Linked DNA regions of Macaca fascicularis. The protein of the gene in region 1 interacts with the protein of each later gene in a pairwise test. Links are inferred from orthologs where the notes say so. Each region holds a gene or a part of one and is shown on either strand. Other genes may lie near its edges. The genes, in order: MTUS2, CRY2, SNW1, TP53RK, TLE5, FAM161A and DCTN4.

Region 1 (4,265 bases):
AGAATACAGTAATTTGGCATTCTTTCTTCCTTTGACCTGGCTTATATTATATTCACTTATTTAAACATGGAAGCCTATTTAATGCATACTCATCTAATTTCATACGAATTATAGCAAGTGAAATTTCAATGGGTCTCCTGAGATACTGGGTGCATCTTATTAAGAGAATCAGACTCTTCTAATTAAAAATGGTCATTTCTCTAGACAATCTCCTCTAGTCAAAGACTCCATTTCTTCACCAGTGTATCCATGGAAATCTGCAATTCACTTAAAGAGGACATTTTACTTTCATAACTCATTGAAAATATGTCACAGATTTTGGGACAGTCAACTTACAGACCATATCATGATGACATTCTCTTACCTCCTGCAAAAACTTTTCACTCATTTGACCGAAAGGATGTCCTGGGGGCTTGATTCCAGACACCATCAATCCGGAACTGAAGACCCTTGGCTTCTGCAGGTCTGGCTTGAATTTCTCATAGAGGTTGGCAGACGGCTTCAGGTCACCACTCACAGCCTTCTCTTCATGGGGAAGAGGCATGGTACATGTGGGCGGGGCATATGGAAGCCCCACTGGAAGCAGCGAGGCGTCCACCTGGCCCAGGGCCTGGGGACTCCTCCTGATGTAGGTGATGATCTTGGGCCTCACATGCTTGGGCTTGGGCATAATGACGGGCTTGGTTTCTGTCCTCTCCTCTGTTTTTTCAACCTGATGGTTCTCCGTTCCCTCCTGCGAGGAAGGTGTGTCCTTGGAATGTGTGAAGACAGGCTTGGGGATCCCACTGGGGCAGGCGTTCTTGTCAGGCACTTTGGGGGATGTGTTCGACAAGCGTGCACTATCAGCAGGGGGTGGTACCGCCAAGGGGGACACTGCATCCATACCGAACACGCTAACATCCTGAAAACGGCTACTGGGTGTTGTAGGCTGGTGGGTCATGTTCACAGTTGTCTCTGGGAGGAGGGGTGCTGGAATATTGAGAACTGAATCTACTCTTGCTGAGGTGCGTTCAATCTTATCAGCATTCTCTAGAAGGTTCCTGCTTTCAGCAACAGATGTGGTGATCTCTCTGCTTTCCCGTGCTTCTGAGCTGCCACTTTGAGGTTCCAGGGGCTCAGGCACCTCTGTCTGGCTCTCTCCAATGGAAGGATTGAACACCAGAACTGTAACACTGTCCTTGTCCACTGTGGGTTGCTCACTGCCCAACTGCCTTTCCTCCTCAATGACATCCAAGGGTTTGCTGTCAGTCAGATTAGTAGGAATAAAAGCCACATGACCATCACCTGGTGAAAAGCTGCCGGATGTCCTTTCACCCAACTTCCCACCTGCACATGGTGAAATGTTGCCAGTGGGCTGACTATCAGCCCCTCCTAAGGAAGCAGAGGCCTGTTTGGGGGTGGCGTGGAGAGAATCCGGCTTCCCTGGGTTGACTCCTCTCTTCTCTTCACTGTTGCCTCTTCCCACCCCAAGGTGGTGGAGGTCACTGTTTGGCAGAGAGCCAAGTGCATCGGTGGTTTCTGGGTGCGCCTCCCCACACAGATCCTTTCCCTCCAACGCTGAAAGATTCTCTTCCCTGTGGCATCCCAGATACCCTTCCTGGGCTGCCTTTCCCTCCTGTTCAACCCTCCTGGGTGAAACATATTTCAGCTCCAGCTTGGCCTCTGCCTTTCCCTGACCTAATTGTGCTTCTGGCTTACTCGGGATTTCCCTCGATGTCAAAGTCAGATTCAGAGCAGGCTCTGGATGGGCGGAACGTGGTATGTGCTCACTGCACGCCTGCAGTACATGTGCTCCCACTGTCTGGGTCTCTGAGGGGGTGCTCTGCTTGGTCTCTGAGGTAGATGGTTTAGGATGACGCACACTCTTTCCCTGTGAGGTACTGTCAGTTGGAGGGAACGCTGCCGGGAGAGCGCAGTCTGGCAACGTCTTCTGTGGCCCCTCCCCACCCCCAGGCACCTGACCCCGTGCTTCCTGGGAGTCAAGGGGTGCAGGCTGTGGATGCTGCGGAGTCAGGCTCCCGACTACAGCTACAGAGCTGCTTGCTCTTTCCAAAGAATGCCTCCTCAGTTCCTCATTGTTGAGGGTCTTTGCCAATTTATCCTTGGGAACGTGCCGGGGAATTTCAGCATCCCTTTTAGCCAAAACGTCTAGACTGGCCTCACCCATCACATTTCTCCAACTCGACAGACTCGGTCCCTGGATACTCCGCGGGGTCTGCGGGCTATCTGCGCCTCTCTCCATTGTGTGCTCCTCATTGAGTTCCCTCTGAATGGTTGAAGAAAGTCTAAAATCTTTCAGGCTGGTGGAGCCAGGCTGAGATCCCTTCTCAAAGCTCTGAAGTTGGTGAAATTCCTTATGGAAATGGGTACGGTTTTCTGGCTCACTTGAATTTGTATTTCCAATTTCATCTTCCAGGTCACATGTCTTGGACTCATCATGAGAGGAGCTGACCTCCAACATGATTTGATTGGCATTTGTATCTCCCAGACTTAGGATGCTCTCATTATTATTTCTTGCTGCATTTCTGTTGTCCCGCAGCTGAGTGTAACATGATTTCTTAGGAGCCACTGGGACGCTCATTGTCAACCCTTTGGTGGGGCTGCTTGCCATGCAGTCCTACTTAATGGAAATGGGCTGCCTTCAAGCTGCAATCAGATTAATAGGAAATTCTCAGGCTGCTTGTCCTCCCCTGACAATGTCAGCTTGTGACACTGCTTTAATCATTCTCAGAAGAGCTTGAAAAGCAAGCATTCTCTTGATATACAGCAGGAACTAGGTTCCGGCTGAATGAGAGCCAATTAGTCCGTGAAACCTAGAGAGAAATAAAAATACATTCACATTAGATGGACAAATAGAACTTCTCAGGAGGAAAAAAGTGGTAAACACAGATTTATTCGTCATTTCTATACTATTATTTCATTCACTCGATAGTTTTCTCAAAAACCTTTCTGATCAGGGCTCCTGCTGACCAAATACGGACAGAAATTAAACATCAGAATGTTTAATGTTAGAAATCGATTATAAATGCATGTGAAATCTTAAATCCAAATTTTAAACATCCACAAGTCTATACTGATACTGATTTAAAAGGGTGGAGGAGAAGTAAAGGCTCTTCTTTACAGAAGAGCATCAACGAATGTAGAAAAAAATTTACAGAATTTGAAAAATCACTATTTTGCAATCTCTGCATTAATAATTATCTTGCACAAGGGATGCCAAAGGTACAAACATTGGGTAAAAGATTGTTGGGGAACAAGATATTTATAGATGCTTAAAGTATCTTCCCCCCAGCTACTTTATTTCTTACAAAAAGAAAATTTGATCTTTACAATGGAGAGATCTGGTAGACACCACATTAACCACGTGATCAAATTTAACATCACTGGTATCGAAACTGACATGACGGACTCCTGATATTAGTTAGTTCTCAGGGCCACACATCACCTATGCAGTAATGTTCAACCAGAATTTAACCATGAGAAAATAACCTGGCGAATTTAAATTGAGGTATGTATTACAAAATAACTGGCCTAACTGGTCCCAAAAAAAAAGTCAGCAGAGGCTGGATTTTCAAAATATGTTAGCAAAGGATATTATTAGGACAATGAGAGATGTAAATATGGACTGTATATAAGGTACAGGTATGTCATAATTAATTTCCTTGGGTGTATAATCGTGCTATAATTATGCCAGAGATCATCTTTGTTCTTGAAATATCCATGCTTTAGAATTCAGGGGTAGTATGTCATGATTTCTCTAACTTATTCTCAAATGATTCAACCAAGAAAAACATGTGTATGTATGTGTGTGTGCATATGAGAAGGAGACATATGTGTGCAAAAGAGAGAAAGAAACTGGCAAAAGTCAACCATTTGAATATCTAATTAAGAATTCTACTACATCTGCAGCTTTTCTATAAGTTTGAAATTTTCCAAAATAAAAACTTGGGGGAAACGCTTCATTCCGGCCTTCGCGGCCTGCATGATCAGGCCCTGAACACCTTTCTGGCCTCATCCCCACCTCACCATCTGCTCTGCAGGCTGCTGCCACATTGGCCTCATTCCTCACAGTACCATGTTCATTACTCCCTGCCTCAGGGCCTTTCCACATACTTTTCCATCTGCATGGAATGTGGAACCATCCCCCAGCCTCATCTAACAAGTCCTTTGCATCCTTCAATATGCAACGTAACTACCACTTCCTCCAGGAAGCCTTCCTGACTGACTAGGTCGTCCTATAATGATGAATTTGTAATATCCTGTAT
Region 2 (4,120 bases), on another chromosome or scaffold:
TTCAAGACCAGCCTGGAGAACATGGTGAAACCTCATTTCTACAAAAAATACAAAAATTAGCCAGGCATGGTGGTGCAAGCCTGCAGTCCCAGCTACTTGGGAGGCAGAGGCAGGAGGATCGCTGGAGCCCAGGAGGTCAAGGTTGCAGTGAGCTATGATCATGCCACTGCATTTCAGCTTGGGTTGTCACCTGAGCAGGACCCTGTCTCAAAAAACCCCACAAAAAACCAAAAACCAAAAACCAAAAACCAAAAACCAAAAACCAAAACCAAAACCAAACAAAAAACCCCAAAACCTTAATGCCCAGGCCATAACCAAGAACAATTCTAACAGAACTGGGGGAAAGGGGTTGGGCACAGTGGTTCATGCCCCGTAATCCCAGCAGCTTGGGAGACCAAGGTGGGTAGATCACCTGAGGTCAGGAGTTTGAGACCAGCCTAGCCAACATGGTGAAACCCTGTCTCTACTAAAAATACAAAAAAATTAGCCAGATGTGGCAGTGGCCGCCTGTAATCCTGGCTACTTGGGAGGCTAAGGCAAGAGAATTGCTTGAACCTGGGAGGCGGAGGTTGCAGTGAGCCCAGACTGTGCCATTGTACTCTATCCTGGGCAACAAGAACAAAACTCCATCTCAAAAAAAAAAAAAAAAAAAAGAATTGGGGGAAAGGGGCCCAGGCATCTTTTAAAGATCCTTATGGGATTCCAATACATAGCAGCCAAGATTGAGAACCACTGCTCTAGTCTGTCCCCTTATCTTATGTTTCTCATGGCACTTCGTTTCACTAAATTATGGTTGTTTGCTGGTCTTCTTTCAATAAAATGTAGGCTCCAGGAGTTCTGGAGCACAGACACATCTGTTTATTCACTGCTGTATCCCTAGCAACATCTAGAGCACTACCTGGCAGATATTAGGCATTCATTAAGTAATCAATTAATATCTGCATTCCTACACAGCCTCTGACTTCAGGATTTGACTCAGGCATCTAAGCCACATTCCTTTTCTCCTTCACTAGATTGACAGCACAATCACAAAACGATAACCCACAAAAATCCATAAACACCTGGTTCCTAGCAAACTGGAGTTTAATCAACAGGAATTTTATTGTTGATTTTTAATCTCCCCTATCAAAAAAGAGTAGGTAGTACTAGGCAGTGTCCCCCAAAACCCAATAAAAGAAGAAACTCTGTGACAATGTAACAAGAAGGTAGTCGGATTCCATTTGGCTGGCTCTGACTGGTGCAGGGCAGTCTGAGGCTTGGCTTAATGTCCACACTAGGGATGGTCATTTGATGATGCTTGTCAAACCCAACCTCCTATCTGTAGAAAACTGGAGCAGAGACAGAGCAATAAGGCAGCCTGAAAACTGTGGGCAGGCTCTCCACAGGACTCTTTAATTGTTCCTTCTATATAAACTGGGCAAGAGGGGACACTGAACAGACCTACTGCTAGGAGCACTCACTCTCTTAGCAGGGTACACACCTTGGAGAGAAAAGAATGGTGTGCCGAGAGCCACGGTATCCTGGAAATAACCCTGTCCATCAGTGCAACAAGGCCACAAGCAAACATTCCCCAGAACAATGTAAACAAACCCAGCGACTGCCACTAGGTGTTCTGAAGAGCGATGGGTACATGATGTCTCAAAACTCTTTAATTTGAATACTGCTTACAAAGAAAATACATTAACGACCTGTTCATCTTTTTCCATGATCATGTCGACTCCATCTCCTGGGGGGTCATCAGAGGGGCCCTTGATATCATGGCTTTCCTGCTCCCTAACCTTAGCACAACAGTTCATAGAAGTCTCATCTCTAATGGCTCAACTGTCCTCTAAAATCATGACAAGAGGATGACGGGGTGACACTTTGGATCCTTTTAAATTTTTTTTATCGAGGTCAAAGCTCCAGAGCAGGGCTTAAACCATTTTGGAGAATCCCCTGGATTCTCTGGAGCTTTGAACACAACGCGATTCCACCTGAAGACACCTTTGGCTTCTTTATTTATAATATAGGGGAGAAGACTTTATTTAATGCTAAGCCAGGGTCACCTGACACCCCTAGAGGCAGGACGGTCTGGGCGCAGGGAAGCCAGGATGGGTGGTAGGGCGGATTCAAACAAGCCAGAGGCTTAGGAATGATCTCCCCGAGCCCAGCAATGGGCTCTTTACTTGAAGAATGCGAGCAAAAACCCGTCCCGCCCTCACACCACAGTATCTCCTTCTGCCCCTCCCTGAGTAGACCATAAGAGCCCTAGACCAGGAGCCCCTGTTCCGCCACTCACTGGCTGCAAGTCCTTGGACAGGTCGACTTTGGGTCTCCAGGGCCCAAGGGTCTCATCTGTACAACGGGGATCATGATCTCCGTTCCACAGGCAGTTGTGAGGCTCAGAGGGGTAACAGTGCGAACGCGCTTTGTCAGAGGCTGAGCCCTGGCCCACCGGCGCGTTAGGACCATGACGAATTACTTCCCCGGTCTCGGCTTCTCCACGGCCTCACAGCCGTGGAGAGGTTGAGAGAATCGTGCTGTTTGCCGGTCACCCCAGGGTCAGGGTCCTGGCTGCGTCCCCGCCACCCCGCCCCGGGTCCCCTCACCTCCATCGGTTGATCCCGACTGAGGAGGAGGCCGCGAACCACGGGTCGAGAATGTAAACGCAGCGCACGCAGCGCGCCCCGCGCACGGCCGCCAGCAGCGCCGGGTTGTCGTGGAGCCGCAGCCCTTTGCGGAACCAGTGCACTGAAGAGGCGCCGTCCGTGCCGGGCGCTGGCGCCGGGGCCACAGCTGCCGCCGTCGCCACAGTCGCCGCCATGACTGTCCAGACTGCTCCGGCCACCCCCGCTCCGCCCCGGTAGGCGACGCGGACCCCGCCCACAGACCGCCCAGTGACCTATGACGCCGCAGCTCCTCCCTTCGTCCCCGCCCCCAGGGCCTTAGAGCCCCTGTGCCATTGGCTGAGTGCCTCCCGCCCGGCGATTGGCCCAGAGACGCCAGAACAGGCCCCGCCCCCTCACGTTCCTACCATGTGTGGGTCCGCCTGGGTGGAGCTGGCAGGCGGACAAGTGACGCAGGCTGGCACAGTCCGCGGAGGGCCGGGAGTGGGCCGAGTCTCGAGGTACAGCGGATCTCTTACACATGTCCTGTTCAGGGCCTGCTTCTAGAAGAAGCTACCTGGGCTGGTAGGGGTTGCTGTGACTACAGCCAGAGACTTGCAAAACTGACAACTGACCTTCCTATTATCACCAACATCGTCACCAGCATCATCTACATCATTCTACTACAACTGCCATTTATTAAGTGCACTTTATATGGCAAGAGACATGATCATCTCCTTACGTAGTCGGTCTCATTTACTATTCTGAACTCAGCCCAGTTACATTCATTTAACGAACACCAGTGGAAGAGCTGCTGTTATTTTTGTTTTACAGATGAAGAAAATGGAGGGTGCCGCAGGTTGAGCGACTTGCTCAGTATCATAAAGCTACTAAGAGGGATTTCACCCATATTATTCTGATTTTGAAACTTCTGCTTTTATCCACGAAGCTATACTTCTCTTTGTGCGAAGATCCTTGGTAATTCCAAGTGGCAGAGTCCAAGGATGGAGAAGGAGTGCCCTGATACGCAGCATTAGAGGATTTGGGAGTAGGGACTGGGAATGTGGAGGACTTGAGCTCGTAATTATGCCATCAGATGAATTTATTTTCTTTTAGTCTGTTTAGTAGATCCAGTGGTACTATTGTGTGCAAAGCACTGTACTGGATTCCGGGTGGGGTTCAGAGATGTGGAGGACACTGTCCCCATTCTTCTGGGACGCCAGGTGGAACCCTCTTATTCCTCTGGCGTCTAGCATAGAGCTTGCTGATTGACTGACTAAATGGCAAGAGAAGCTATAAACACCAGCAACAAGGTGTTGGGGAAGGCTAAGATGGCTTAGTCAAGCTGCAGCTTTGGGGTTATCAGGTGGAGAACAGTCAGTTTCAACTTGGCCCTAGGTTGAGCCCATGCTTGGAACCCTTCCTGGACCTGGGACAGTGTGATGAAAGCATTTAGCAATTTAGTCTGCAATTTAGTGGCATTAATTGGCACCACTCTCTAAACCAGTGTCACTGCAATCCTAGGCATTCTCTGC
Region 3 (3,557 bases), on another chromosome or scaffold:
GTCTTGAACTCCTGGGCTCAAGCAGTCTACCTGCCTTGGCCTCCCAAAGTGTTGGGATTACAGGCTTGAGCTACTGCACCCAGCCTTTTTTTTTCTATTTACTAAAACTTCAGGGTTCTAAGAATATAACAGATCATTAAGAGAGTACAGCAGATTTAACTTCCTATAGATGCTAAGATTATAGTGATTTATTCTGCCTTTGTTTGACTGTTACATTTATTTGAGGAGCAACTGTTGAACTGTTTGACACTGATTTCCTTTTATTAAAATCCACAATTATCAGCACAAGTATCTATTTTTCCAGAGGTTGGGTTCTGAAATCCTACTGTCTGAGTTTAAATCCTAGTCCTCCACTTATTTTAACGGTATGACCTTGGGGATGTTACCAAAGCATCAGTGAAATGGACACAATGTTAGAAGCTTTATAGAGTTATTATGAAGGTTAAATGAGACCATAGATGTGTTTGATCTTCTGCATAAAGCACTCATTGATAGCTGCTGTTATTTTGCGTCGTTGTGAAGAAAGATATAAGGAAAAAGAACCCCAGTTAAGTTTAAGTGGGTCCTAAAATGTGGGCATATTTTAATTTAATTTTAGCCAGGCTTGATGGCTCGTGCCTGTAATCCCAGCACTTTGGGAGGCTAAGGGTGGATCACCTGAGGTCAGGAATTCAAAACCACCCTGGCCAACATGGTGAAACTCTGTCTCTACTAAAAATACAAAAACTAGCTGAGTGTAGTGGCACACGCCTATAGTCCCAGCTAGTTGGGAGGCTGAGGTAGGAGACTCACTTGAACCCAGGAGACAGAAGTTGCATTGAGCCAAGATGGCACCCCTGCACTCCAGCCAGGGTGACAGAGCCAAGACTCCAGCTCGAAAAAAATTAAATTAATTTAACTTCAAATAATTAATTGAAGCACTTCTGTGACTGGGTTTTCTGTCTGCTTTCACCCTAGGGTTATACAATTCCATTAGACAAACGTCTGGCTGCTGATGGAAGAGGACTACAGACAGTACACATAAATGAAAATTTCGCCAAACTGGCAGAAGCCCTCTACATTGCTGATCGGAAGGTTGGTTGGTTATAATTTGTTTAATGCTCTTGTTACTTTTAAAATCCATTCTTGGTTACCTAAGGTACTGATAATTTAACTATAGTACCAAGCACCCAGAGAGAGTCTCACCCATGGTACGTGTGTCAGAAATGGCAGCTGCTAGTTGGCAGCTGTCTGCATGCTCCTAGCCTTTGTAGATGTGTACATACACCCCACAATGGTGATCCGGCTCCCTCACAACATGCCAGAATAATGATTTGCTGGGGATGATCCCATTTTGTGAAGACTGCTAGGTTTCGTAATTCTTGATTTCAAATTTTCCTGTATTTTAGATGTAGCTGTCCCACAAAAAGGCAGTTGCAGGCAAAGACAGATAAACATTCTAATGAATTGAATGCTACATAAAATGGCGTTCATAGCATTGGCCATCTATTAATATTGCATAATGTATTAAATATTATGAAATTAGGCCAGGCACAATGGCTCATGCGTATAATCCCAGCACTTTGGGAGGCCAAGGCTGGTGGATTCCTTGAGATCGAGAGTTCAAGACCAGCCTGGCCAATGTGGTGACACTCCATCTCTACTAAAAATATAAACATTAGCTGGCGGGCACCTGTAATCCCAGCTACTTGGGAGGCTGAGGCAGGAGAATCTCTTGAACCCAGGAGGCGGAAGTTGCAGTAAGCCAAGATTGCACCACTGTACTCCAGGCTGGGCAGCAGAGTAAGACACTTCATCTCAAAAAATATATATAAATATAAATATTATGGAATTAATAAATGATATTGAAGTTCACATGCATCATAGCATGTGTTTAGAACATAAAAAAAAGTCTTGTATCACAGTGAGTTCCTTATAAAAATTATCTAGCAGATGTAAGTTAAGATTTTATCTTGAGTTGACTTGATTCATTTTGAAAATGTAACCAGTCCCTTTTTATTTATTGATTTATTTTGAGATGTATCTCACTATGTTGCCTAGGCTGGTCCCAAGCTCCGGAGCTCAAGCAGTCCTTCCACTCTGGCTTCCCATAGTGCTAGGATTACAGGAGAGAGCCACTATGCCTGGCTTTACTTTTGTTTTTTAGATTGTTTCTGAGAAAGCATTAGTGAAACACTTGATTTACAAGATTAATTGGGGTCACTATAGTTTCAATCACTAAAATATTCCCAGAGAAGAAAGCTGACCTTGCAGTGTCTTCCAGGCAGGATATCTTTTAGTGGACAAGATTCTTTGTTTTAATTAGCAGTAACAAATCTGAATTCTGTATGATTGCTCTTACCAGCCAGATTTTAGGGAGCTGGATGACAGCCATAAATATTTATCCCATGATAGTGTCCTGTTTAACATGTGACTTTACTAACAGGCTCGTGAAGCTGTGGAAATGCGTGCCCAAGTAGAGAGAAAAATGGCTCAGAAAGAAAAGGAAAAACACGAAGAGAAACTTAGAGAAATGGCTCAGAAAGCCAGGGAGAGAAGAGCTGGGATCAAAACTCACGTGGAAAAAGGTATGACATTCTCATTACTGAATTGAATTTTACTTGGTGAACAAAATACATCTATTTTAGAAAATCTTTTTTTTCCTACTGCATATAAAGTTAGGTACATCTAAACAAAATTTAGATACTTCAGATATAGTGTAGAAATGGAGAGTAATCTCTGCCTTAGTAAACTGAAGCAACAGGAGATAATAAAAAAGTGGGTCTTCAGTTTGGGACTGTACCAGAAGTTTTTAAACTTCTGAGCAATGTACTTTTAAAAATTGCATTATTACTCAAATGATAGGCTTGATTTTCTCTTATTTTAATCTCAAAACTTAAGAGAAATTAGGTATCTAACTGAATAATTCCACTCCCTCATATGGTGAAATAATCCGGAGTTTTTCTACCTTGTAGGCTCTAATGCATCATTAAATCTGCCAGTATTTTCTCTCTGACTTTACTTAGTGGTCTACATTGGTGTATTAATTCAATTAGAATGGGAAGTCGAGTCCTAATTATAATTCAAGAAATTCTGTGAGGGTGGTTTTTTTCATTACTGAATTCTTACCTGGTACATTTATTCATTCTTTCATCTATTTAGTTCATATTGAGCATCTGCTGTGTGCAAGGTTCTCTTTTAGACACAAGGTGTTTTTGCTAGACAGTGGGTAGGGGGATGGGATATAACAATCAACATTCTAGTGAGTGTAGACAGACAAAAGTTAATGATGTAGTATAGTAAAAGGTAATAATTGATATGGAAGAAAAATAATACAGGGAAGGAGGATATAAAATTGCTGGAAGGTGAGAGTGGTCAAATAGCCCTCGCTTCTGAGATGGTACTGTTAGCAGAAATACTTGAAGGAAGTAAGGAAGCAAACCATGTGGATTTCTGGGGGAAGAGCATCCCACACAGAAGGGCCAGCAGGTACACGACTGAGATGGAAGTATGCCTAGTGTGGCTCAAGGAAGAGCAGGCAGGCCAACGTGACTGGATTGTATGAGAAAGAAGGGGAT
Region 4 (4,132 bases), on another chromosome or scaffold:
AAAAAGGCTTCAAATACAGTTTCAGTGTTGGGATGGGTACTGAGGAAGGCCTTCTCCAGGACATAGAGGTCTACTCCCTTATCCTCTGGAAGTGCCGAAATGAAGCTCAGCCCAAAGTCTATGAGGACAATGTTCAGCTGTTCCAGGGGGGGTTTCAGGAGCATGTTGGAGGTGGTGAGATCACCATGAATGAGGTCTTCATCGTGCATTCGAGCCAAAACCTGCCCAATTGTCTTGGCTAAGTTGGAGAGACTTTGGGGAGTTTTTTCAGTCTCCATAGTAGACTGAATATAATCTCGAACAGTCACTGAGCCTTCAATTTCTTCCATATATAAGCAGTTGGAAGCATAGTCCACAAAAAAGACAACTGGGGCAGATATTCCTGAAATCAAGACATAAGTGGTTATTGGGTTGGATTTTTTTTTAATGGATAAACTTAATTTTCAAAGATTAAGCCAGTTTTTCCATCTATATCTACTTATTTCAGGATGATTTAGGAATGCTACAGGGAATGGTACAACTGAATGGAATATTCCCCTGCTCCTGCCCCCTGCAGGACTATACCTGGGACCACCCCACAGCTAAACTGAGGAGGCCATAGCTTCCTCCTCCCTTCCAAACCACCCTTTCTCACTGAACTTCATTTGTCACACTCACTCTCTAAAAAACAAACAAAACAAAGGCTGGGTGTGGTGGCTCATGCCTGTAATCCCAGCACTTTGGGAGGCCGAGGCAGGCGGATCACTAGAGGTCAGAAGTTCGAGACCAGCCTGGCCAACAGGGTGAAACCCCATCTCTACTAAAAATACAAAAATTAGCAGAGCGTGGTGGTATGCACCCGTAGTCCCAGCTACTCGGGAGGCTGAGGCAGGAGAATAGCTCAAACTCAGGGGGTAGAGGTTGCAGTAAGCCGAGATTGCGCCACTGCAGCACTCCAGCCTGGGTGACAAAGTGAGACACTGTCTCAAAATACAAAAACAAACAGCAAGGCACAGCCCAGTCAGAGCAGTTTCTACTGATGAGGACACAAACAGGAGGCCAAGCAGTGTGCTGGCTTCGAGGTTCATCTTCACAGTCAGAGAGGACAGGGTTCAAATCCCAGCTCCTTTTCTTATTAGTTGTCTAATCTAATCTTAAAATTACATTAACTTCTCGGCCAAGGCAGGTGGATCACGAGGTCAGGAGATCGAGACCATGCTGGCTAACATGGTGAAACCCCGTCTCTACCAAAAATACAAAATATTAGCCAGGCGTGGTGGCAGGCGCCTATAGTTCCAGCTATTCTGGAGGCTGAGGCAGGAGAATGGCGTGAACCCTGGAGGTGGAGCTTGCAGTGAGCCGAGATTGGCCACTGCACTACAGCCTGGGGGACAGAGCGAGACTCCGTCTCAAAAAAAAAAAAAAAATTACATTAACTTCTCTAAGTCTCAGTTTCTGCTACAATAAACTCAAATGAATTTTTACTGAAAGTCAACCAGGCTCAGTATACTTTTCTAGAAACTGAGAGATGTATCAATGGGGATACAGCAATAAACAAGCCAGCTATAATACAATCTCTGCTTAACGAAACATATCATAAGAGGCTGAAAACAGAAATATGAACACACAAATAAGTTCGTGAAATCTTCAGTCTCTGAAAGGGCAGCAATGTGTCTGCTTGTTGGCTACTGAATGTCCCCCCTTGCTAGATCTCCCAGCACTTAACAATGTCCTGGCACCCACAAGTACCTAAAAAATACTAATAAAAGAAAGGCACGAAGCGTAAAATTAAAAAGCCAGTACTTCTGAGTCAGAGGCATACGGAGCTGAGGGCCTGGACCGGCCACTTAGTAGCCGTGTAACCTTGGGCAAGTTACTTCTCTCTGAGTGTCACTTTCTCAACTGAGGACAAGGTTTATGGCGCTGGCGCACAATAAATAGGCAATTTAATGAAATCCAACACTTACTGAGCACTATGTGCCAGGCACACATTCGAACATAATACACTGCACACAGACCTCCTCTAATGGTCACAACATCCCTATGACATGGATATTGCTACTATGTCTCCCATTTTACAGGTGAAAAAACCGAAGGTGAGAGGCTAAATAACTTGTTGAAAGGCTACATAAGCAGCAGAGTTAGTATTTCAACCCAGACAGCCTGGCTCCAGTGGGGCAAGTACTTGTAATTACATGTTTCTTAAAACTAATAAATGAAAAGATAATGATCGAAAATTGAAACGAGTCAAATGGGGAAATCAAGGCTCAGGGAAGTTAAAGATGTTCGACGTTGAGCAATAATGACAGCGTCCAGATTTGAACCTGGCAGAACGGCCCCAGGACAAACGCTTGACGCTGCAAGGCCACGTGGTTTCTTAAGACTTAACGAATGAAGAAAGGGATGAAAGAATAACATTTCCGAAAGGCTGGCCACGGCAGAAGGCACAGAAGGAGAAACTGAGGCAAACCGTGGCTCGGAGCGCAGGAGAGTCCCTCACCCGCCCAGGCCCTAGAGCCTCGGGGCCGCCCACGCCAGGATCCGGGCCCTCCTTACCCGCGCGGCGGCAGCGGAGGAGAGCTCGCGCTTCCTGCACCGTCCGCCGCCGGCCAAGCCGCGCCTCCAGCGCCGGGTGCCGGTAGCCCTTGGGGAAGCGGTGCTTTATCACCGCCGCGCGGCCCTGGAAGCGGCCGCGGAACACGCGCGCCTCGGCGCCCTGCTTCACCAGCTCCAGGCCTCTCAAGAAGCGGCTGCTTCGCTCCCGGGCCGCGGCCAGAGCCTCAGCCTCTGGCGCGGGCTCCTCGCCATCGTCCGGGGCAGCAGGTCTGGCCGCCGCCATGACTGTGCTCGGCGGTACAGCTCCGACCGACCCGCTCTCTCTGAAAACTGTCGCGATGCTTCGGCTCGCTTCGGAAATCCTGGTACTTCTTCGGTTACCCGAACGCTTCCGCCCCGGACACTTCCGGCCTGTGAGTGGTTACGCCTCCCAACCTTTCGGCTCTCTGAAGCCTTGGGTTCCCTGCAGGAAGGGCTCCTGTGGCCCCGCCTTTCACCTCTTCGGCTATCTCCGTACACGTTCGGCAACTCTCGGTAAGTGGCTCTTCCCTACTCCTTGGCTCTCCGGAAATCTTCGGTGATTCCCGCAACCGGTTTTGGGAGATCACCTCCCAGTTGGTCGTCTCTTTCCGGAGAACTTCAGCTCCTCTCGAGAAAAACGTCGGACGCTCTTTGCTCACTTAAGGAGTCTCCTCCTGGACAGGTGCACCCTCTAGTAGTGTCTTTTTGGAACACCTCTTCCCCTGACTCCTAAATTCCCCCCAGAATGTACTCATACTAGTCAGTGTCGGAAGGGTCAGACAATGAACCGTGTTTCCGACATCCTCTTAAGTGCTAGGATAACTACCATTTAGTGCATTCAGAAGAAATAAGATTAAATGATGAAAATCCTTACAGAAAAGAAAATTGAGACTCAGAGAGGGCAGTGGGGGTGGTGGGATGGGGCGGGGAGTGGGGGCTGGGGAATCCAGGAAAGTTTTCCGGAGACAGAACCTAAACTGAATTGGGAGGAATTAAACTTTTTCAGTTTCTACCTGTTTCATTACAAAGCTAATAACACAGGCTGTAGCAAATTCTTACAATACGGAACTTTGCGCGCACACACACATATAAATAAACTGCCCATCCTCCTTGTGACACCGCTGGCCGTTAGTTTCTTTCCAGAACTTTCTTTTATTCAGTGCGCACACTCACACATCATTGTGGCCTTTTTTCCAACATAAATGACATCATACTGTGGGTTCTTTTGCAACTTGCATTTCATTTTCCTAAACAATTTATCTCGGACTATATTCCATATCAGTACATACAGAACTACCACATCCTTCTACTTGGTCAGGCAGTTTCTTGTTGCTAAGCAGTTGTTTCCAGTTTGTTGTTTTTCAGAAAAACACTTTACTTACTATTGCCAGTTTATTATAAAAGATAGTATAAAAGATAAAAAATGAACAGCCAGATGAAGAGGTACATAAGGGAAATTAAAAATTGTACGTATTTATCATGAGCAACATGTTTTGAAATATGTGTACATTGTGGAGTGGCTAAATCCAGCTAGTTAATGTTACCTAACATACTCATCATTTTGGGGATGAGGACA
Region 5 (4,123 bases), on another chromosome or scaffold:
CCCACCTCACTCAGAGCAAAAGCACAAGTCTAAAGCCAGGTGCGGTGGCTCACACTTGTAATCCCTGCACTCTGGGAGGTAGAGGCGGGAGGATCACCCAACGTCAGGATTTCAAGATCAGCCTGGCCAATATAGTGAAACCCATCTCTACTAAACATACAAAAATTAGCCAGGCATGGTGGTACGCACCTGTAATCCCAGCTACACGAGAGGTTGAGGCAGGAGAATCACTTGAACCCGGGAGGCGGAGGTTGCAGTGAGGCAAGATCACGTCACTGCATTCCAGCCTGGGCAACAGAGTGAGACTCCATCTCAAAAACAAACAGCTGGGCAAGGTGGCTCACGCCTGTAATCCCAGCACTTTGGGAGGCCGAGGCAGGTGGATCACCTGAGGTCGGGAGTTCAAGACCAGCCTGACCGACATGGAGAACTCTCGTCTCTACTAAAAATACAAAATTAGCCGGGCGTGGTAGCACGTGCCTGTAATCCCAGCTACTCGGGAGGCTGAGGCAGGAGAATCACTTGAACACGGGAGGCAGAGGATGTAGCGAGCTGGGATCGTGCCATTGCATTCCAGCCTGGGCAACAAGAGTGAAACTCCGTCTCAAAAGCAAACAAAAAACAAACCACCAGGTCCCATCCCTCCTCCTCCCACAGCCTTCCAGGGCTCCCACTTCACTCACCCAAAAACCCAAGTCCTCCCCATGGCCCACAAGTCCTTGCTGGACTGGCCTGCTTCACCAGCTACAGAGTTAGCAGGGCCCAGTGCAAAAGAAAACTGAAAGGCCCCTTGTTCAAAAATGATTAGGAATCTCAAAATGCAGCACTAAATATTAACCCAAGCACAAGCCCTGCTGAGGAGTGGGGGGGCCTGGGCAAATGCATGAAGCCCCAGGCCCTGCCTCCCTCCGGCCTTCCTGACCTCCGCCCTGGCACCCTGATGCCAGGCACAGTCCTGCCCCAGGGCCTTTACACCTGCTGGTCCTGCCTCTGAGTACCTCTGTACCCCATCCCCCTGTTCTCTCTCCTTCTTTGGGTCGTTTTAGGGGCGGAGGAAGCTCTCTCTGATCCTCCCTGCCACCTGTTTAACTTTGCATCTTCCTACCCTGCCATCCTCCCGGCTGGTTTTTCTGCAGAACCGTCCCCACCATCTGACCTGCTGGGAATTCAGCTTGTTAATTTGTCTCTGTCTGTCTCCAGGCACCACCACCAGAGCAGGGACCCCCCACCCCCGCCCCCACCACAGGGCCCTGGAGCAGCAGGCCCTGGCACACAGTAGGCGTTCTATAAATGTGTCGCAAGAATGGCTTCCCTGAGAAAGGCGGCATTACCGCTGCCTTTCTGCAGAAAAGGAAACTGAGGCTCAGCGAGAACCACCGCCCAGCCAGAGCCAAGGTCACAGAGCACGTCCGTGGCACGCGTCCAGGTCGTGCCACGGCAGGGCTGGCGGCTTCGACGCGGGCAGCCGGGTCCCTTTTCTTTGACAGATGGGGAAACCGAGGCCCGGCCTGCTGCCGGGTTGGGGGGGGTGGCGGGGGCCGCGGCCCGGGGCGGGGGCGGGCGGGGCCCAAGGTCACCGCGGCGGGCGGGCCCTGGGGAGGCGGGCCGGGGTGGGGATCCGCAGGCCTCCCCGGGCGCGCGCCTCCCCCCCCTCGGCGGCGCGCACGGGGCACGGGCGGCGGCGGCAGGTGGAGCCGGAGCCTCTGCATCAGCCGAGCCGCGGCCACTGCCGGCGTCGCCGCCATTAGACAATAGCGGTGGGGCCGGGGAGCGGGGAGGCGGGCGGCGGGGAGGGGCGGGGAGGGGCGCCGGGCGCGCAGGAAGCGGGGCCCGGGGCGCGCCGGGGCCGGGCGCGCGGGGAGGGGGCGCAGGAAGCGGGCGAGGCCCGGCGCGGGAGGCGGCGGCGGCCCCGGGAGCTGCCGATCGGCGCCGGGACAAAGGCGCGGCCGCCCGGCGCCCCCAGCAGCCCGAGCCGGGGCGCACAGCCGGGGCGCAGCCCGCGCCCCCTGCCGCGACTGACATGATGTTTCCACAAAGCAGGCATTCGGTAAGCGGGGTCCGTCCGGCAGGCGCCCCCACCCCGGATCCCGGCCCTGCGCTCCCCACCCCCGGCTCCCGGCCCCGCGCCCCCCACCCCCAGGCCCGGTGCCTCCGGCCCGGCACCCCCCCCAACTCCCCGGCCCTGTCTTCCCTCTCCAGCTCCAAGCCCGGCGCGACCCCCCTCCTGCCGCCGGCCCCCGGACACCCCCCAGTTCCCGATCCACCCCAGCTTCCGGGCCCCGAGCCCCCCCGTCCCAGCTCCCGGCTTGGCGCCCCCCCCCCTCGCCGGGACAGGCAGGGCCTCGGACGGCCTTGGCCTCGGGCCTGGGGCGCTCCGGGAGCCCCGCCAGGCACCTCTAGCGCGGGGATCCTTTGGGGGCCTGTGGTGGGGGGGCGATCCGAGGCGCACCCCTCCCGGAAGAGCGCGTCCCCGAGGAAGGGCGCTGGGAATCTGGGGTGGGCCCCCCGGGAAGATTTCGGGCGCCGAGAGACCCCTCCCCCAAGAGGGCTTTGCTGGGAGGACTCGCTGCCCCCCAACTTGGGGAGGGGGCTCCCTAGGGTGCGTATCCACCCCCCTCGGATGTGCACTCCCTCCCGGCGCTTTGGAGGGGCGGTAGAGGGCGCACCCTGCCCCCCATCTAGGGCAGGCCTTAAAACGCACCCCCACTGCTTGGAGGTGGCGGGGGTCGGGGCGGCTCCGGGCGCACCCACCCTCTCGGCTTCCCCCGGGAGAGGCGGGGGGCAGGAAGCGCGGGTGGGGGCCGCGCCAGGGGCCGTAAACACGGGCCCAGGAAGTGGGGCAGGAGGGGGGGCGCCGCAGCTGCGCGGCCGCTCCCTCCCGGCTGGCCCTCGAGGGGGGTCCAGCCCAAGCCAGGGCCTGACCCGGGCCGCCCCTTCCCCACAGGGCTCTTCGCACCTACCCCAGCAACTCAAATTCACCACCTCGGACTCCTGCGACCGCATCAAAGACGAATTTCAGCTACTGCAAGCTCAGTATCACAGGTGAGCTGGGGGGCCGAGGGTCCCTGCGTCCCGAGAAGGTGAGCCCCCCACCCCATTTCTTCTGCGCAGATGGCAAGGCTGAGGCCTGGAGGGGAGATTGGGAAAATAATGTATGCTAGACTCTGACCTAATACTTGACAAATAGGGAATTCATTTTTTTTAAACAGCTGCATTCTGTGGAGGACAAAACTGAGGCACAAAATAAGTTAAATAATTTGCCCAAAGACTCAGCTGTGTGGCTTCAGAGCCCCTCCCTCCTACCCAATCCCCCCAAGTCCCCCCTTGGATAAAAGACAATTGGAGTTAGGGCACAGACTCGCCGTCCCCCCAACCCCCAAAACAAACATTTTGCAGCCTGGTCATCTCTCTTTGCCCAGTTTTGGAGAAAGGGTTCCCAGCATCAGTCAGATTCTCCCAGGTGCTTCTTTCAGAAATCTCCTGGCGTTTCTGAAGAGCTTGCCATGCTGTGGTATCTAAGGGGAAGGAACTATTTAGTCCTTTTACACTTAAAGAAATTTAATCCCAGGCCGGGTGCCACCGGTGGCTCACGCCTGTAACCCCAGCACTTTGGGAGGCTGAGGCGGGTGGATCACTTGAGGTCAGGAGTTCGAGACCAGCCTGGCCAACATGGCGAAACCCCGTCTCTACTAAAAATACAAAATTAGCCGGGTGTGGTGGCAGACGCCTGTAATCCCAGCTACTTGGGTGGCTGAGGCAGGAAACTTGCTTGAACCCGGGAGGCGGAGGTTGCAGTGAGCAGAAATCGAACCACCACACTCCAGCCTGGGTAACAGAGAGAGACTCGGTGTCCGAAAAAAAACAAAAAAAAAAAAAAAGAAGAAGAAACTTAAGCCCAGAGAGGTTATTTCCTCGGGGATGTCCGTAGCGTTGAGGAAGTGGCAAGGCTGAGGTTTGCACCAGGTCTCTCTCCTGGTTTAAGGTTTAAGGATACAGATTTTCACCTGCCCTACTCTGGAGGGGCACGCCGGGCCTGGGAATCTGGAGGAAGTCAGGCTACGCTCAAACCCCCGTTTGGCCTTGGGGCCCTCTCCAAACTGAAGTGTGCCCACCCCAGAAATGT
Region 6 (3,557 bases), on another chromosome or scaffold:
GTAAGTGTATAAAAACCATATTCATCTACACATTCATTCAAACCTTTATTAAGTACCTACCATATGTACAATCCTGTGCCAAATATTAAGGGAATACAAAGATGAATTTTTAAGTGGTGCCAACTCCCAAGGAGTTTACAATATAATAATAGTGAAAAGCAATTTAACACAAACTGTAGGGAGAAAATTACGAGTAAACATTTGCCCCAATGGAGAAAAACGACCTTACTTTTTAATTTAAAGCATAAATTGCCAGTTGGGAAACACTGCTATTACATACACCTGTATTAGTTCATCCTTTTAAAATGATGCTGATTGTTTTTAGAGAAGAAAATGTCTTATGCTGTATTATCTTTATGACTGACTTCAAATTTTAAAACAAAAATTTGCTTACAGAAAAAAATTATAGATTTATAAAATCAGATTAACATTGTACACAGAGAGACAAAGCGTGTTGGCAATAATATGTAAAAAGTTGAACACAACTGGGTCTAGCAGTAAAGAATTAAATCTGAATTACTTTGAAGACTTGCCTTAGCCAAGTTATTATGCACAATTTCATCATATATAAAACAGGGATACTTGCCCCTAATTTAGCACATGCCATAATTCCTTCCATCTGTAATAATACATAGGGTTAAAAAAGCTAGTACAAAAACTTTCCCAATAATATCAAAAATAATTTGGACTAGAACTAAGGATAAAAAGAAAAAGGGATGATGGTGTAGACAATTTAACAGTAAACTTTCAGTGCAAAAATAAATGTAAATTTGCAAGTATCTATTTTTTTTCTATACTTTTAAAAATGGCTCAGAGCAGCAAAACAAGTTCGAGGATTTATTCTGTGAAATGTATTGCAGAGAAAAAGAATGGGCAAATAGTATAATTAAAAATACTTATTGATTCACACTTTCCAAAATTTTTAAAAAGTAAATCACCAAAGACCAATACTTCTCTCTGCTTTCAATACTACGCCATTTTTTCCAGTAAAATTAATGAAATAATGTATTTTTTTAAAACTAATCAGTTTGTGACAGCTGTGGTTCTGAAACACTTTTTAAAAATACAAAATCATAGTTGCAAACAGATCATATCCAGTGATTTTTAAAACTGAATAGGCAAAGCCTTACTCTAACTGATCAAATGACCAATCAGCTGGATTCAGGCTTTTCAGGCTACAGATGACTTTGATCAACAGCCCTGCACATATCAGAGGCATCCCCACAGATGTTCTAAACACAAATGCAGCTGCTGACACCCTGACGCTGCAAACAACAGCAAGGGCATAGAGAGAAGACCTTGATGATTCAGTGTGATTCTTCAACAGATTTCTCTTCTTCACTTTCTTCATTGGCTTCATCTTTTTCCTTGTAAGAATCCTGGCTGTTGGTATCAATAAAATAATTTTCTTCCCCATTCTCTCTTTCTTCTATTTTTTCTTCTTCATTAAAGCTAGGGGAAGAAATTTATCAATCTTTCAAAGGAAAAATGAGTTAGTTTAAAAGTAAACAAACCCTCTGCAAGTATGCCACCATGTAGCCAGTCTTCCTCAAGTGTATGAATTCCAATTTGTTATCAAGACAGCTCAAAAAAAAGAAAGAAAATGCTATAAAAGTGCCCATTGAGAAATTTAATATTCCTGAAAATTAATTTATTTCAAAAATTTTTATTTTTTTATTTTTTTGAGATGGAGTCTCTGTCACCCAGGCTGGAGTGCAGTGGCGTGATCTCGGCTCACTGCAAGCTCAGCCTCCCAGGTTCATGCCATTCTCCTGCCTCAGCCTCCCGAGTAGCTGGGACTACAGGCGCCCGCCACCACACCCGGCTAATTTTTTGTATTTTTAGTAGAGACGGGGTTTCACCATGTTAGCCAGGATGGTCTCGATCTCCTGACCTTGTGATCCACCTGCCTCGGCCTCCCAAAGTGCTAGGATTATAGGCGTGAGCCACCGCGCCTGCCCTATTTCAAAATTTGAGTGATTCTTTAAACTTCATTTGAAAGCATGCTATTATTTTTGTTACTTATGTCAGTAAGAAATCTAAGTTATTCTGCTTTAAAAATAAAATACTTCATGTGAACGTTAATGTGTCAAACATGTTAAAATATCAGTATGTTTTACAACAGTTCACACGTCTTTTACTATTGGGTAAAAGATCTTTTTAAAACAATATAGAACAAAAAATATATATAGTATAAAATTGTGCTTTTCTGCAGGTAATACTTTTTCAAAGGTAAGCCATTCAGACATCTTATACATGTTACCTTTCTTTGTCTTCAGTGACACTTTTTGTCTCTTGATTGTTGAAGTACTCAAGTACTTTTCCACTTTGGCCTTTCTTTGAAACAAACTCATCAGATATTCCTAGTGCTTTTAGGGTATTAGAATAATGCTTTTCTGCTGCCATTCTTGCATTTTTCTATAGGAAAGACAAACCCTTTTAGACGAGAACAGAAGACTTTAAATTTTCATTAAAAATGTATGGATTAAAAGTGCCAGTGATAATTAAGTTCAGCAGTCACAGTTGGTTGAAAATCTGCATACCCTATGACCAACAATTACACTCCTAGGAATATGCCCAGAGAAGCTCCCACATATGTGTCCCAAGGGAGGACATATACAAGAATGTTCAGGATAGTACTGTCCTTCAATAACCCCAAATTGGAAATCACCCAAATATCTATTAGCAGAAGGATGGATAAATAAATTGTGGTCTATTCCTATAATGGAGTAAAATAAAGCAATGAAAATGAATGAACTACAGTTACATGCCACAACATGGATGGATCTCACAAATATAATACTGAGCAAACGAAGCAAAGCACTAACAAGTACATATTGTATGATCTATATAAAGTTCTGAAATGGGCAAAACAACTATATTGTTTGAGGATAGGTACACACACTGTAAAATTGCAATGAAAAACAAGGAAGTACTTATCCCGAGAGAATGGTGGTTACCTCTTGGGGAGAGACAGAAGGGCTGTGATTTGCAAGGGGCACGTAGGGTTTTTGGGGTGCGGGCAATGGTCTGTTAACATGGGTGGCGGCCACATTAGATTGATCTATAATTATTTTTTATATTGTACCTAGGTTTTATATACTTTTATGACTGTTTATAAAGATATCTGAAAAAAAGATTTCATGCAATAATTGTTGTCAGAGGATTCTTTTCTTTTCTTTTTGAGACAGGGTCTTGCTCTGTTACCCAGGCTGGAGTGGTGTGAACACAACTCACTGCAGCCTCAACCTCCTGGACTCAAGCGATCCTCCCACCTCAGCCTCTGGAGTAGCTGGGACCAGAGGCGCACACCACCATGCCCTGCTAATTTTTGTATTTTTTGTAGGATGGGGCTTGTTGTATTTTTTGTAGGATGGGACTATGTTGTCCAGGATAGTCTCAAACTCCTGGGCTCAAGTGATCCACCCGCCTTGGCCTCCCAAAGTGCTGGGATTATAGGCATAAGCCATGGCGCCCAGCCAAATTCTTTTATTTTATGTATCTACTGTAATTTTTACTCTTTATGAGCCATATCCCCAATTCATTAATGATAAAAG
Region 7 (4,266 bases), on another chromosome or scaffold:
TGGAAGCACTAGAATCAGACAGAAAAGGGTTCTACCTCTATGAAACCTTACAGATGAGTCACTGCACTTCCCTGTGCCTCAGTTTCCTGCTCTGTAAAATAGAAATAATGATAGCCACAAGCCTTTTGGAGTTGTTGTAAGAATTAGACAATATATGTAAAGTTTTGACACAGTGTGCTGCATTTAATAAGTGCTCAATAAATGTTTGCTAATAGTATTCAGTTCCCTTTCTCCTAAATCACCAACTCTAATGTCAGACAGGTAAATAATACAACACTACTACAATTATAAAAACGCAGACCTGGTAGCAGGCAACAGAGGCTCCAGTTTCTGCTAGGCAATTCTAGGTGGTCATTTTACATACTGTGGAGTCCCAATGAGAGAAAGGGAGTCAGGCTAGTAGGACCAAGGGAAAGCAAAAAGAGCAGATGCGCTCTAAGTCTGCCTTTCTTCATGGTGCAGGACACATAGCCCTCCTGTGCAAATAACTCACAATCTTCCTGCACTCAGCTATCACGAGACACATGCAAGTTAGCTCCCTGTAACCTTGGAGTTATGGGTATTGCACAGCACTCTGCAGCCCAAGAACCATCCGATAAAATCTCCAGCAAGTCTTTGTTTCCTTGAAGTCAGCTCCTCTCTGGCTGGTCGGCCCACTGCAACTTTTCAACGTATTTCCATACCTTTTCTAATACATCTGCATTTCTTTTAGGTTGAATGTATCAACCTAAAACTGTTGATATATTCTTTTCCCACTCACGTAATACCAGTCTCACATAGTCGCTGCTCACCCAAGACGCAGACCTGAGCCTTAGTTTACACATGAGAAAAACGTAGATGCCTACCAACATTGTTCATTCATTGATTTCATTCCCTCCTTTCATACTTATTGAAGGTCCACAATACACACTTAGACCTAATGCTAACTCTGTACTCAAAACCTGCGTGGAGGAACTCACAGCCTGAGTTTCAAGCGAGATAATGTATGTGAAAGTTCCCAAAGGCCATTGGCAAGACTCAGAAGACAGTGCTGGTGTGACTCTTGTCTTTCAGTCCCCACGGAGCCCTGTCCCTTTGAGACCTTCCATTTGTCTCCTGGATGCTCACCTGTTAAGTGGGGCAGGGGAGGCCGTAGTAAATAAGACAAAAGAGCTGCCTTCCATTCTGGAAGAAAAGAATAAAAGGAGCTCACTGAGTCCAGACCTAATGACAGGAAGAGCAGTGGACGCTCACACAACCGCTGGGGCACAGGCCCAGGGTTGGGGAGAAAACTGGGATCCCAGCTGCGCACGCGCGCTCTGGTTTTCGACGGGCGCAGAGCAGGACGAGGTGGGAAGCCTAACGTCAAAGTCTACGTAGGAAGACGTAGGGAAGGCAGCTAGGAAGACGCTGGCTCTCGGGTCACGTGATGCGGCGGGAGGTTCGTCGGCTCCTCCCTCCCCAAGATGGCGTCGTTGCTGCAGTCGGACCGGGTTCTCTATCTAGTCCAGGGAGAAAAGAAGGTTCGGGCCCCGCTCTCGCAGCTCTACTTCTGCCGCTATTGTAGCGAACTGCGGTCGCTGGAATGTGTGTCTCACGAGGTAAGGGAGTCGCCCCATAGCGAGTGTGGGGGGTGGGGGGCGCGGCGTTCCTCCTAGTCACTGCCACCAGCGGGCTGGAGCTATTTTCCTTCCTTACTGATTGGTTATGTCTTCCGTCACTCGGCTTTGCCTGCGATTTGATTTGCTTATAATCTGTCACTTGGAAAGGAGGAGCAGCCTCGGGTGGGGCTGAGAGGATCTTCTGGTTCTAGAGCGGCCTCTGATTGGACAGACTTGACTTAGGGACCGTGTCTGTCTCCGATGGGGCTTTGTAATTGGGTGGACTACAGAGAAAGGTCTGGGGGTGCTTAGTTCAGTTCATTAGAGGGGCGAAAAACTGCCTTTCCAGCTTTTATTGCGAGGATGGAGGAAGGCGCAGGCGTTCTCATTCATGGTTCTCCCATCGTGGAAGTTCTGCTCCTCTTTTGTCCAGAAATTGGGCCCTCCTCAGACTGCCCTTGCCCTGTTCCTGACTCAGGCCAAGGCCCGCAGCCGGGGAGAGGTTGGGGCGGCGTGAGTTATGTGCAAAGCCCTCAGGATACAGTATGTCATGTAAGAAGCTGAAAGTGTATTCATGGAGCTAGAGAACGATCTGTCCTTCCCTGGCATGAGCGGGCGTCCGAAGTTGGATTTTTCAAAAAGAAGACGACCCCGGCCAGTAAAAAGTCACCAAATAACAAAACCCCAAAACTTCTGCAGCGCTTGGCACATCTTGTTTATTCAGTAGGCTTAAGGGATTAAAAGGCGAGTAAGACATAACATGCGCTGTTTAATAAGCCATAGTCTAGTGAAGAAAAAGCTGATAGTAATAATAGTTGCTGCTTGTTCGATACTTGCTATATGTCATGTGATTTATGTAATCTTCTGTCCAAACCAATGAAGTGGATACCTTTAAGAAAATTTTTTTTTACAGGTAGAGAAACAGATACAGACTGTTTGCTGTAAGTCACACAGCCAGTAATTTGGGGGTGGGAGGGAGGGCCTGGATTTGAATCTAAACAGCCTAACTCAGAGTGTTTTTTACTGAAGATCCCGGGACTGTTAAAATAAGTGCACATGAAAACACATACTATAAACTATTTAATGTGTTATTAATAACTTATTTTATTGAAGATACTTTTCATAATAGAAATAGTCAAGAAAAGCAATAAAATAATACAAGAAAAATCGTAAAAATATGGCATTGATTTTTCTTCTTATCTCCATTAGCACTTTCCTTGTGTGTATCTCCTTGATGATTCCCTATTCCAGCTCCACCTCCAGAATTTATTGGATCATATTCTTCTGTGGTGAACAGAGTGCTCAGTCTCCATGATCTGTCTCTAAGGGTCTCTTCAATTAGGACATCCAGTCTGTGACAGCATCTTTTACAGCCTGATGTGTACCTGTGATGTGGAGGCCATTAGAGTTTAGGGAAAGATGAAGCTCTGAGGGCTGGGGCAGGCCGTGGACGTTCTAATGGAGAATCTGGATCTGGAGCTGCACATGAACAGACAAGCAGAATATGGAAAGGGGGCAAAAAGGAATGATTTGTATTTTGCCTTTTTTGATGAGTCAGTGCAGGTACTAGCAATACTGTATTTTGTGTTCCTGGAGATTATTTGAACAACAACTTTATTAATCTTGTCAAATTGACCTGTTTATAGCAAATGATGAAAAAAGTCAGTTTCTGTCATAGTATTTATGTTCCAGTGATTGTCTCTTCATTTGCAGGTGACTAGAGTTCTGTAATTGTCAAATAGGACCTACATTAAAGAAAATAATTATTCAGACTTTGAAAAAGTAAAATGAACTTAATTTTTTGACTCCCAGTTTTTTTAAGTACAATAAGACTGTCCCATTAATTTGTTTAAGAATCTCTAATTGGTTGGCTGTGGCTGACTATGTAAATATTTATGCTTTCCTTGAGTCAACCTGTATTACTTCAATAATGAGAAATCTTTAAAAAAATTTCCTTCAACAATTAAAGTATGGTCAAGTTTTTATAGTCATATAAAGCTAGCCTAGACAGGAGGATATTTTATCACAACTTTACAAATTGAATTGTTTTATTAAACTCTTCATTAGATTATCATAGAATTCTATGGAGTTCAATTGGAAACTGTAGATTGTTAAATAAACAACTTTCAACACATAAAATCTCAATGATGGAATAGGAGAGATGAGAAAAATAGAAGGGTTTTTTAAATCCAGAAGGAAAAAAAAACACACAAAAACAAAAAACAGGTGACTGAAGAATAAACCCTAAGCTGAGAACAGTCTACCTTCTGCTACAGTATAACATATTTTAAAATTCACTATTTGACAAGACATATACACAAGTTAAACTGAGTTCTCCTCTTTCTTTTTTCTTGTTTCCTCCTAGGTGGACTCCCATTATTGTCCCAGTTGTTTAGAAAATATGCCGTCGGCTGAAGCCAAACTAAAAAAGAATAGGTAAGACCTGGATATATATATTTCTTTCCCTGTTTTCCTTGACTGTTCTCTAAAATAGCTGGTTGAAAAGACACATGGGCCAGGCATGGTGGCTCACACCTGTAAACCCAGCACTTTGGGAGGCTGAGGCGGGGATCACGAGGTCAGTAGATCGATACCATCCTGACTAACATGGTGAAACCCTATCTCTACTAAAAATACAAAAAATTAGCTGGGCGTGGTGGCACGCACCTGTAGTCCCAGCTACTTG

What was found.
Region 2: the proteins of MTUS2 (region 1) and CRY2 interact in binary tests that used the Homo sapiens proteins (3 or more experiments, as listed by UniProt). The two-hybrid records come from large-scale screens. The link is inferred for Macaca fascicularis from reciprocal best matches to the Homo sapiens genes MTUS2 and CRY2.
Region 3: the proteins of MTUS2 (region 1) and SNW1 interact in binary tests that used the Homo sapiens proteins (3 or more experiments, as listed by UniProt). The two-hybrid records come from large-scale screens. The link is inferred for Macaca fascicularis from reciprocal best matches to the Homo sapiens genes MTUS2 and SNW1.
Region 4: the proteins of MTUS2 (region 1) and TP53RK interact in binary tests that used the Homo sapiens proteins (3 or more experiments, as listed by UniProt). The two-hybrid records come from large-scale screens. The link is inferred for Macaca fascicularis from reciprocal best matches to the Homo sapiens genes MTUS2 and TP53RK.
Region 5: the proteins of MTUS2 (region 1) and TLE5 interact in binary tests that used the Homo sapiens proteins (3 or more experiments, as listed by UniProt). The two-hybrid records come from large-scale screens. The link is inferred for Macaca fascicularis from reciprocal best matches to the Homo sapiens genes MTUS2 and TLE5.
Region 6: the proteins of MTUS2 (region 1) and FAM161A interact in binary tests that used the Homo sapiens proteins (3 or more experiments, as listed by UniProt). The two-hybrid records come from large-scale screens. The link is inferred for Macaca fascicularis from reciprocal best matches to the Homo sapiens genes MTUS2 and FAM161A.
Region 7: the proteins of MTUS2 (region 1) and DCTN4 interact in binary tests that used the Homo sapiens proteins (3 or more experiments, as listed by UniProt). The two-hybrid records come from large-scale screens. The link is inferred for Macaca fascicularis from reciprocal best matches to the Homo sapiens genes MTUS2 and DCTN4.

The regions. Positions count from the first base shown.
Region 1 is NC_088391.1:8,910,575-8,914,839, reverse strand, and holds the start of MTUS2 (microtubule-associated tumor suppressor candidate 2), read right to left. Parts: upstream 2,815-4,265; 5' UTR 2,814-2,814; coding exon of another isoform or gene 2,718-2,813; 5' UTR 2,612-2,717; coding exon 365-2,611; intron 1-364. Other genes in the region: uncharacterized protein, read right to left, coding at 2,718-2,813. UniProt on the Homo sapiens protein: Binds microtubules. Together with MAPRE1 may target the microtubule depolymerase KIF2C to the plus-end of microtubules. May regulate the dynamics of microtubules at their growing distal tip.
Region 2 is NC_088388.1:20,015,764-20,019,883, forward strand, and holds the start of CRY2 (cryptochrome-2), read right to left. Parts: upstream 2,817-4,120; 5' UTR 2,804-2,816; coding exon 2,589-2,803; intron 1-2,588. UniProt on the Homo sapiens protein: Transcriptional repressor which forms a core component of the circadian clock.
Region 3 is NC_088381.1:145,686,488-145,690,044, reverse strand, and holds part of SNW1 (SNW domain-containing protein 1), read left to right. Parts: intron 1-957; coding exon 958-1,074; intron 1,075-2,425; coding exon 2,426-2,567; intron 2,568-3,557. UniProt on the Homo sapiens protein: Involved in pre-mRNA splicing as component of the spliceosome. As a component of the minor spliceosome, involved in the splicing of U12-type introns in pre-mRNAs.
Region 4 is NC_088384.1:102,741,273-102,745,404, forward strand, and holds the start of TP53RK (EKC/KEOPS complex subunit TP53RK), read right to left. Parts: upstream 2,819-4,132; coding exon 2,536-2,818; exon of another isoform or gene 2,351-2,535; intron 383-2,350; coding exon 1-382.
Region 5 is NC_088393.1:3,763,014-3,767,136, reverse strand, and holds the start of TLE5 (TLE family member 5), read left to right. Parts: upstream 1-1,277; 5' UTR 1,278-1,290; coding exon 1,291-1,518; intron 1,519-1,657; exon of another isoform or gene 1,658-2,020; coding exon of another isoform or gene 2,021-2,047; intron 2,048-2,327; exon of another isoform or gene 2,328-2,599; intron 2,600-2,944; coding exon 2,945-3,042; intron 3,043-4,123. UniProt on the Homo sapiens protein: Transcriptional corepressor. Acts as a dominant repressor towards other family members. Inhibits NF-kappa-B-regulated gene expression. May be required for the initiation and maintenance of the differentiated state.
Region 6 is NC_088387.1:60,093,775-60,097,331, reverse strand, and holds the end of FAM161A (protein FAM161A), read right to left. Parts: intron 2,419-3,557; coding exon 2,264-2,418; intron 1,453-2,263; coding exon 1,308-1,452; 3' UTR 27-1,307; downstream 1-26. UniProt on the Homo sapiens protein: Involved in ciliogenesis.
Region 7 is NC_088380.1:157,634,022-157,638,287, reverse strand, and holds the start of DCTN4 (dynactin subunit 4), read left to right. Parts: upstream 1-1,419; 5' UTR 1,420-1,445; coding exon 1,446-1,580; intron 1,581-3,945; coding exon 3,946-4,016; intron 4,017-4,266. UniProt on the Homo sapiens protein: Part of the dynactin complex that activates the molecular motor dynein for ultra-processive transport along microtubules.